2 linked regions of the Neodiprion lecontei genome follow. Each later gene encodes a partner of the first gene's protein in a complex. Links are inferred from orthologs where the notes say so. Each region holds a gene or a part of one and is shown in the gene's direction. Other genes may lie near its edges.

Region 1 (4,846 bases):
ACAATCCGCAAATCGCAAATAATTCAATTATGTAGTTCTTTGCAATAAGTGAAGATATATTTTATTTCACTCTGACAATTTCCCGTCAGTAATTTATTGATGATCTAACGAAACTGCTTCTAAGAAGGATTTGTCGAAATAATTAAATATCTATGGGACAATAGGTATAAAGATCTTACTCAAGCGACCATGTATTAACTATGTAAAATAAACTGTAAATATATATATATACGTATGTACATAGGTATTATATTTGTATGCAACATATTTATACATCATACATAGTATTAAAGTTCAAAACCAGAATTTGGATGTTCGGATGTTCAGAAAGTGACGTCACCGAAATTTTTTTCTCTGACGTCATCGATCTATAGTAATCGTCGACGACGAAAATCAGCTAACCGAATTCATCATTCTGAAAACAACCGCGCAGTAGAGCGGACGGATGAGAATCGGGCTCCGCAAATTTCGAGTACCGGGTTCTCCACCTCCTGGATCCTGCGCTCAGGGTCCGCTTCCTGGTGCAACTCGAGTTCCGGAACAAGCGCTCCGTAGTTTCTACGCTCCAGGTCCGCTACCTGGTGGAACTCGACTTCCCAGACAAGCGCTCCGTAGTTTCTGCGCTCCAGGTCCGCTACCTGTTGAAACTCTACTTCAGGAACAAGCACTCAATAGGACTGGCGATCCAGGTCCTTGACCTGGTGACTTTTGACCTTCAGGACTAATTTTCTGTAGTTATGGCTGTCCAGGTCCTCCACCTGGTGGATCTCGACCTCCAGGACTCGCGCTCCGTAGTTTCTGCGCTCAAAGTCCTCTACCTGGAGAAACTGGACTTCAGAGACAAGCACTCCGTAGTTCTGGCTGTCCAGGTCCTTGACCTGTTGACTTTTGACCGTTACGAGTAATTTTCTATGGTGCCTGCGCTCCAGGTTCGCTACCTAGTGAATTTCGACCTCCAGGACCAGTGCTTCGTAGTTCCTGCACTGTGCAGTGAGCAGTGAGGGCCTGAGGTATCTCATTAATTTCGTATCATCTGGTAAAACACTAACAACGAGTAAGCGAGCGCACAAGAATAAAAACCAGCTGCACTAGGCATCCGACCCCGAGCGAGCTTTAACGAGCGAGGGTTTTACAGCTTATTATTATTTGTATGCAACATATTTATAAATAATATAATTAATGTGATTTCAATGTCTCGCTTCTTTAGTCTAGAATGGAACAGTGAAATATATATATATACTGAATGCGAGCCAGCAACGCAGAAAAACCGGGGATGTGCTATTATGCGTTCTTTTGTACATATAATCTGTCATTTGTTCAAATCTTGACAATTTTTTATTGCTACTCGCGTCACGTCGTGCTTACCATTTTTAGCAATTTTTTTCGTATTCTAAGGGGGTGCCTTGCTCGATTTCGACGTTGACATATATACCTCTAAATATCGAAGTCCACGCATCTCAAATGTAAACAAGGGTTTCAACAGCCCCATTCTATACGCCATTCTAAACAAAGATTTCTACAATGCATGGAATTTCTTTATTTCTGCATCGAATGAAAATGAATTGGTGTGTGTCTGTTCAAAAACGCATATAGGTAGAACGGGCTGTGAGCCCTTTTTTGCATTGACATATACCTATACGTCACGTCGAAATCGAGCATGGCGCCCCCGTGAGGCTTTAAGGTGCGTCTACATTGAAGCTCCAATGTAAACGCACCTTTCAGGCTCATGATATGCCTACTATTCGAAGAGTTACCGATTGTATGTACTTTTTTATTTGATTGTATACATACGTACCAATTTATTGGAGTACACAGCCTCTTTAAATATCAGTTCCGATTGTCAATACCAGATGCTGGTTACTACCAGCTCTTTAGAGCAAATAAACAAATGTTTTTAGAGAGTTCCAATCTATGTATTAATTATGGTTCACATCGCGAAGACAGATCTGTGTGCCGCCGATTATTTGACAAGCAGAATAACCTAAAATTTGGTCAAATCTTTTCGTATAAAAATAGCCGTACAACACTGTTATTCGTCTAGAGTGCACATTTCGATAAGGTTTCACCTTGATTTACGTTATTATTGACGTTTTGCTAGTTTTTTGATAAATCAAACAACCCGTAATTGGGTTTTATACGTTCAACGATATAAAAACATTTCATTACTACAATCTCCATGGCATTTCCATTAAATGATCAAGTTCATACTAAGTCTTTCTCTCCTAGAGAATATCAAGTGAGTAAATAAGACATAATTCTAAAACATACATGTAGTGATAACTAATTTCCAAAGTTCGTTTATCATTACTCAAATTACATTTTTTAAATTACATTTTTCAAATTACATTTTGAATTCCATTATTTATTTCAACAAGTTGTACAAATCGAAGTAATTAGTGCCTTGTGAAAATTTTTTATGCTAGGTGGAGCTCCTCTACGCAGCTTTAGAGAGCAACATAATAGTTTGTCTAGGAAAAAATTCTGAACAAATATTTATTGTTATCAAACTAATTCAAGAGTTGGCGACTAACAACAGAAGGTAAAGCTATGTCGTTTCTCTTTACAATTGTTGTTTTTTCATCTTCAAATCTTTGGATAACTTGAGTTCCATCTGTTCACAGATCTCCGTCAGAAGGAGGCAAGCGCTCAGTATACATTCTAAGAGATACAGATCGATGTTTAACCAAAGCTGTATATATACAACAATTAACAGATCTACGCGTACTTATCTGTGATTCTGAGACATGGCCAGAGTTCGATAGAAAATTCGCTGAAAGTCAGGTGATATATGTTATCAACGATATAAATTTTATTTCAATTTTCAACCAGTTATTCAATATGGTAATTCTGTAATATCTGTATGATTTTCAAAATACAAGTCTTTATTTTAAGAGACTCGATCTTTGTTCAAATCTTCCTCAAAAAAGTAGCGCACAATTATCAAATATACAAGTGTTATATAGCAGTCTATTTTATCAACGTCCAATATTGTGATGTAAAACAACAGCATGATTGATGTATGTCTCATTTTTACGAAAATCTTACAAGTTATTTAAATCTACATAAAGTCTGTATCATTTGTGTTCATATTTGTTGATACAGATTTATTTTATTTGTTAAAGGTGATTGTTACTACATCACATGTTTGTGCAGATCTGTTGAATCAGAATAAAATTTATCCAAGTCAAATAAATTTGGCAATTGTAGACCAATGCCACAAAGCAGTCAATGATGAAAAGCTAAAGTTTGTTTTACAAAAATTTAATGTCTCTAACGGTCCTCGACTAATTGGTTTTGCTGCACCAGTTTTTAATCTAACTCGTCAGCCAGGACGACTGGAAGCAGAAGTTGAACTTTTGGAAAAAACCTTTCATTGTAGAATTGAAACAGCCAGTGATATTGTATCAGTATTAAGGTTTGTATCTTCTTACTTATTGTGTTTGTTTCACTTTGTTCACTCAATTACTATGTTTTGTGTAAAATAAGAATGTATTCAATTTTGATTCAGATATAGTCCAAAACCAAAAGAGTACATTGTAGAATACAAATGTGGCGAATATGAAGAATTAAACCAGACTCTGGAGAACTGTGCTATGCATGCTATGAACTTTTTGTGTGATCATCGCTATGATCCCACTGAAATTTACAACGATGAGTTCCTCGAGGACATACAGAAGATTCCTGATCCTAAACAGGAACCTTGCTCAATGATAGAAGACTTTTTGTACGTACTTCAAACATTCGGGGCTTGGTGCGCCAATCACGCTGCTCTAGCTTTGCTAATTCAAGCAGAAAAGCTGAAAGTAAAAACCCCTTATGAGCGACACTACTTATTATTCAACGTTGTGGTTTCCTTGTTTATTAAAATAAGGTATGTGTTTCATGAAATATCAAGTATTGAGTAGTCAAACTCCTCCAACAGATTTGCCACTGTAGATTCTTCACTTCTACCCTCAATTCTAATTTATACATTTGGTTATAATTGATATAATACAAAAACCGAGACATTATGGTTTGTTTGGTTTCTAGAGCTATTTGTGAAAGTGAATTTGAAAATTTGAGCGAAAGAGAAAAATTATACAAATTCTCCACTCCATGTGTTCATCGACTATTGCATATACTCAAGTGTTATGCCCCATCCAGCAAAAAAGAATTGACTATCCCAGACAACAAACTGAGCAATGGACACAGTACGTTGAAACATTTGACACTGTTGAAACAGTGGTTTCATAATTAACCATATCCTTATGCATTGTTAATTAAGGTGTATCTGCCTGCAAGAAAGACATTGATACTGGAAAAGATGGCCTCCAACAATCAAAATACATTGGAAATGTCAAAAAGCTACGAACTGGTATTAAAAGACCTCCAAAATCACGGTATCCACGTACTCAAATTGATCCAGATCTGTTGTGCGGAGTTATTTTTGTGGATAAAGGATTTACAGCAAAAATATTATTTTATCTATTGAATGTAAGTTTTTGTTGCTTTTAATATCTTTACTCTTTACATAAAAACAAAGAAGACACAACAAAAGTTATTCTAACATTCCAAACCTAATATTACATTTTTGTGAGATTTGGGTATACAAATACTTGTCATAAACTAAATATAATTACAAAGAGTTGATTATTTTTCTCCAGGACGCTTGTAAGTATGACAAAGATTTACAATTTCTCTCCCCACTTTATACAATTGAAAAGAATCCTGAGGGAACAAGCTCTGCTCATGACATGGAGGTTCAACATCGGAAACAAGAGGAGGTTTTAAAAAGCTTCCGAATACACGAATGTAATTTATTAATTGCTACATCGATATTGGAGGAGGGTATGTATTGTTGTAAGTA
Region 2 (5,039 bases), on another chromosome or scaffold:
AGTCTGTAACAGTATGATGTACAAACAAAGGAAAACAAAATTATAAAAGATAAGAAAAAAAATGTTGAAGTTGATCAAAGTTCTTAGTATTTTCTACACTTATGCTTACCTTTCCATAAGATAACGTGCACAGTTGTATGAATTCAATGATTCCATCTGGGATGCTAGTTTTGCTCAACCGTTTTAGATATTCGATAATATCGTGGGTTTGGAGGCCCACACTCACGGCTGCATATAAGGAATAAGCAGTCAGTTTGTACTGTAAGGAAGGGTACGTAATTATTCAATTGCAGCGAGCTTGGTTTGACGAAATGTTTGGTAGTCATGAATAAAATAAAGAATCAAATTTGATATTCACCTCGTGAATATGCTCTGGTCGACAAACGGGCTCGGAAATGGCAATTAAAAAATCGTGAGCATGTTTGTATACCGGTGAAAATGATTCCAAGAATATGTGTCCATTTGGAGCCTGTAAAATTGGGATATTCTTATTATTCTTCTTTTATTTGCAGAGATCAGTTTAATTGACTAATAACAACGTACCACCCATAGTGGCCTCGACGAGTTGTCTGGCTTCAAGATCATTTGCGAGCGATAGTCTTTAGCTCCAAATTCGTCTTCAACAGCCCCTTCGTCTTGTTTTTCAATATCATTTTTAGCCGCATCAGGAATGCCTTCAGTATCACCACCATCACCGTGGTCGTCGTCGAAATATTCATCGTGATCTTCCTTACGTTTTTTCCATTTGCCCTTGTCTATATGATAAATAAATTGAGAACCGTATGAGTATGAGAAATTAAAAAATTCGAAGTGTATCTCTAAACGAACGGTGAAAAAGTGTTCAAGGGTTATGTACCATTATCTTTTTTGAATCGCTTTGGCGGGCCCATGATAGCCCCGCTTAAAAATTAGTCACAGGCAAAATGATTTGTACACTGATTCAACGCCGTCACACCTTGACACTGAAAAATCAGTCGATGTAAATCCCGGTAAATAAACTTATAACCACTACACAACTCTCACATTGCGGACTGGCAACGGTCAGCACTGTATCTGGTTTGACATAACCTCACAGCCCTCACAGGCAACCTGAAGTTTGGCTGAAGTATGACTTGAAGTGCGTTTCATGTTAAGTTAGGTCAGCTATCTCGATCAGAGCTGTCAGTTTTCTGAGCAAAACCGAGAAAAAAAACGATCTGCGCAGCATGTTGTAACCGTGGTTGTAACTTGAAAAAGCGAATTGCAATAGTCGTAATATGCATTATTATAAGGGACGAGCGATTGAATGATCACTAAACACGTTACAATTGACAACTAATGAAACTTGATCTTACTAAGAAAGTAAAATTAAAAGCCAGATAATTATAATTACATATTTATACTTCGGTTTAAAATTCTCTCCGATACGCGATCAATGAATGATGAGAACCAGGTGTTACAGCACGATTATCGAAAGTGTAAGTCAAAATTCGGTGTTATATTCGCCAAGAGAACAGGATTGTTGTTCAAGTCGGTTTTAAAGTATACCTCGAATATCAAAATATTTACTAATTGAAAGGAAAAAATCGCGCGTTATTTGTTGATCGTACATGGACTGCCGTAATCCTGTTGCGTCCGTGTGGACATGCATTAAAGTCGGCCTGTTTACACCACGGACTATCCACGTGGTCGAGTTTTTGCTGAAACGATCTAGATACACTGTTTATTCGGCTCTCCTGTAATCAATCAACGGTTTTGGTAACCAAAACTTGGCACCCAGGCAAGTTTAAGGCTTGCGCATCGAGTACGGCGCATAGATTGCGCTCATCGCTAAGAACGCACGAATTACGTTATTCGCGCGAATAATTTTACGCATGATTATTGGCAACCGGCAATGACAGAAGAAAATAAAATACCGTAGTTCACCTGTTTTAGAATTGAATGACATCCGCAGCTTGCTTCAGTGCGAATATCGTGACAGTAACAATCTTATAATCGTAGAACACAATCATACGGTGCCTGGGCGAAGCGCGCATGCCGGCGGCGCAAAAGTTCACAGCGCAGGTCTGATGTAGCAGAGAGCATATTGCTGCAGAGCCGCAAACAAGGAAGGATTCTCCGGTAGTCCATAAACCATTTTTCTGTCGTCAAACGGATCAAGCTTTTTGTGAGACTTGGATCGGTCACAAAAAGCGGGATTCGCTTTTCGCATAGGAATTGGCGAGCCGCAGAAGTCAGGATATCTGTACTTTGCTGGGTGGTTAATTGTGAGTATAAGCCTCATAACACCGTCGAACCTCTTCGCGATCCACGCATATCTACGAGTGGCAGCCTCGAGCTAGCTTCGCTCGATGTCACGATGCGTGTCTGTGGGCGTTAGATCTTTATTTCATTCCTTCTACAACTTCTACTACCCTCAAGATCTAACCTTTCTTCATCCATCCATCCTCCAATCGTCCCTCATCGTCGCACCGGTCTGTCCTTACTTACCAATTTAAGATTCAATCGATGAAAATTTTATAACAAACATGGCCGTCCGCCGGTGTCTTATTACCTGCTTACACCTCTGAATAACAAAGGTCTACGGACGTATTTTTGTCCCGCGTTTCATTCGGATCAAGGACCGGCAAGTGCCTGATGGGCTCAACGCGTCATCGTAGAACCCAGCGTACTTTCTGTCCTTCACCTCACTTACCGCGTGTTTGTTTCGGACGAACCAGTCTAGTTATGTGACGACGATCTCCTATTTTCGCAATACAACAAGCGTGCTCTTCGACGACTTGTCACTTCACAAAAATACAGCATGATATCTACGGCTATTCGCCGCAGGATTTTTCATCCACAATTTGTGTCAAATTTACAAAAGTATTTGTGGAACTCCTTTCGGGACGTGTAAATTTTTTACAACGAAAGTGTCGAAGGATTGATCTTAAGGTTGATAAGTATTCAGATACGGCAGGTTTTAGAGTTCGGTAAACCGCAATATTTGAACCGGTATGTGGAGTGATTATTTCTAAACTCTAATCTTATCGGTAAGTCGGATGCTAAAGGATATCATTGAAGCATGTGACTTACCCCTGAAATTACTTTCAGGATTAGCTGTATGGTTAGGCATTAAATAACCATGTCGATTCTGATATTTTAATATGACAAATCTGGGTCAGAATGCAAAAGTAGATGTAGAGTTGTTCATTTGAGAGTCTGTTTGTAGCTCATTTTCAAAAATAGAAAATCCACTTCCGTCAGTATCTAAAAAATATGCATCGAATAAGTGAACGGTAACAATTCAATCTCACAGAAATATTGATTACTCTCTAAAAATTTTTGTACAAGCTTCAAATTTTTAAGGTGATATTTAATTTTCCTCAGTCGAGCAATAAGCTGCTCACTTGATTTCACAGAAATAGATATGCACATATGTCTAAATATTAGCTCAGTTGTTGCGCAAAATATTTTCCTTCTCAACAAAACGATAATTATTATTTTTTGTTTTACAGAATAATAACATGGACGAGATGCGTCATTCTCAACAAGTCGTGCCCAATATCATGAGTGGAATTGGGGTTCAAACGATTCATCCTAACAGCGTACATCGTCATGGCAGGAATCGTGTGACGATGCACACTCTTATGTCCGAGGCATTACCGTTGGACGAGGCAGCACGTTTAGAAATGAAGGCAATGCCTGCTAAAACTCCTGTTTCCGTTTTGCAAGAGCTTCTGTCTCGCAGAGGCACTACCCCAAAATATGAACTTGTACAAATAGAGGGTGCCATACATGAACCTACCTTCCGTTATCGTGTCACTGTCTCTGATGTTGTTGGTAAGCATGTCCTATAAATTTTTTCACCTAAGAGTTTGTGTAAATGTTGAAGTAAATAGTTGGCCGTATTAAATGTTAAGTAATTAATTGAGAGTTCAATTCTTTTGTGTAAAACAAGGGTCTGACAAATGGTTTTCTTTTACCCAGTTCGTTTGTTGATGGAATCCAGTAAATAAGGATAATTGATGAAAATTAATTTTGTAAGCATGATAGCGTAGGTTCTACACTTTTATCAAAATATTTTTAACTGTCACTACAAATAATTGTCTAAGTTCTTCACTAATTGTTCGCATTCTTGTAATACAACAAGGCTGAAATATGATTTTCAATTACCTCATACTAGTGTCAACCAATATGAATGAGTGAGAGTGTTATTTTGATGTAATAAATGATTGAACATCAATTTCCTAAGCATGGTAGCTTATATTGAAATATCTGTTCACCCTTTCAATTTCAATGGAAATTATAAGTAGCACTGATTTTTTTCAATCATATAATATTCTATTCCAATCCAGTCCATTACTAAATCATTCAACATTGAAATTGATACTTATTTGATGTTTGTCATACTCCTAAATATTTTCTCGTATAAAAGACAAAATTATTTGGCATTCAGCCTTCATTTTTGAGTATTATTGTGCGCTGATTTAAACTGAAGTTTTGTCATAATTTTTTAGAATTTTCAAATGCTTCTGTAGAATCAGCTGTATAGTCTAGCATTAGTCTTTGCACCGTGTCACTTTTGGAATGAATCCATAAGATCACTCGAAAAGAATTGCACGAATGAAGCAGATTTAACCATTTCAGCTATGGGGACTGGGAGATCTAAGAAGGAGGCAAAACACGCCGCAGCTAAAGCAGTCCTCGACAAACTGATTGGAGTAAATACTGAAACATCAGAGGGTCCACTGCCTAACAGCATATCTGAGTAAGTACACTGTATTTTTTTATTTCTCCGATGTTTGTTCATTTTGTGAGATGTTGTTTTCGTGAGTTAAGAAAAGATTCAGAAAATAAGACAATTGCTGACGTTATAACAGGGGTCAGAATCTTCAGGAACTGCAAAATTATGGGGAGGACAAGGTCGTTGGAAATCCAATTGGTTCGTTGCAAGAAATGTGCATGTCTAATCACTGGCCTCCGCCAAAATACACCATGGAAGGCGAGGAAGGGCTACCTCACGAGCGACAATTCACCATTGTCTGCTCTATACTGAAGTACAGGCAAGTTGGAATTGG

What was found. Proteins that work in one complex are often made in the same cells at the same time.
Region 2: the proteins of endoribonuclease Dcr-1 (region 1) and RISC-loading complex subunit tarbp2 are in contact, whole or in part, in a cryo-EM structure (PDB 8DGJ), measured with the Drosophila melanogaster proteins. The link is inferred for Neodiprion lecontei from reciprocal best matches to the Drosophila melanogaster genes Dcr-1 and loqs. Residues at the interface, in NP_524453.1 of Drosophila melanogaster: His245, Phe248, Asp251, His252, Arg253, Asp255, Glu258, Ile259, His303, Tyr306, Gln307, Glu310, Lys311, Lys313, Arg320, Leu323, Cys326, Leu327, Ser329, Thr330, Ile333, Gln334, Tyr336, Ser337, Leu338, Glu340, His341; in NP_609646.1 of Drosophila melanogaster: Thr358, Gln359, His360, Ser361, Lys363, Val364, Phe367, His368, Lys372, Ile414, Glu415, Glu416, Lys417, Thr418, Phe419, Gln422, Gln424, Pro433, Val434, Gly435, Val436, His438, Ser440, Asn454, Tyr458, Ile461, Met462, Lys464, Lys465.

What each region holds. Positions count from the first base shown.
Region 1 is NC_060263.1:27,267,373-27,272,218, reverse strand, and holds the start of endoribonuclease Dcr-1, read left to right. Parts: upstream 1-1,771; 5' UTR 1,772-2,176; coding exon 2,177-2,236; intron 2,237-2,423; coding exon 2,424-2,539; intron 2,540-2,621; coding exon 2,622-2,781; intron 2,782-3,122; coding exon 3,123-3,415; intron 3,416-3,508; coding exon 3,509-3,871; intron 3,872-4,029; coding exon 4,030-4,190; intron 4,191-4,264; coding exon 4,265-4,473; intron 4,474-4,643; coding exon 4,644-4,827; intron 4,828-4,846. UniProt on the Drosophila melanogaster protein: Endoribonuclease which functions in microRNA- (miRNA) gene silencing and, independently of its ribonuclease III activity, also acts in the short interfering RNA- (siRNA) gene silencing pathway.
Region 2 is NC_060261.1:39,598,609-39,603,647, reverse strand, and holds the start of RISC-loading complex subunit tarbp2, read left to right. Parts: upstream 1-2,016; 5' UTR 2,017-2,246; intron 2,247-3,476; 5' UTR 3,477-3,485; coding exon 3,486-3,801; intron 3,802-4,593; coding exon 4,594-4,729; intron 4,730-4,841; coding exon 4,842-5,039. Other genes in the region: general transcription and DNA repair factor IIH helicase subunit XPB, read right to left, coding at 110-259, 359-469, 544-755, 857-890.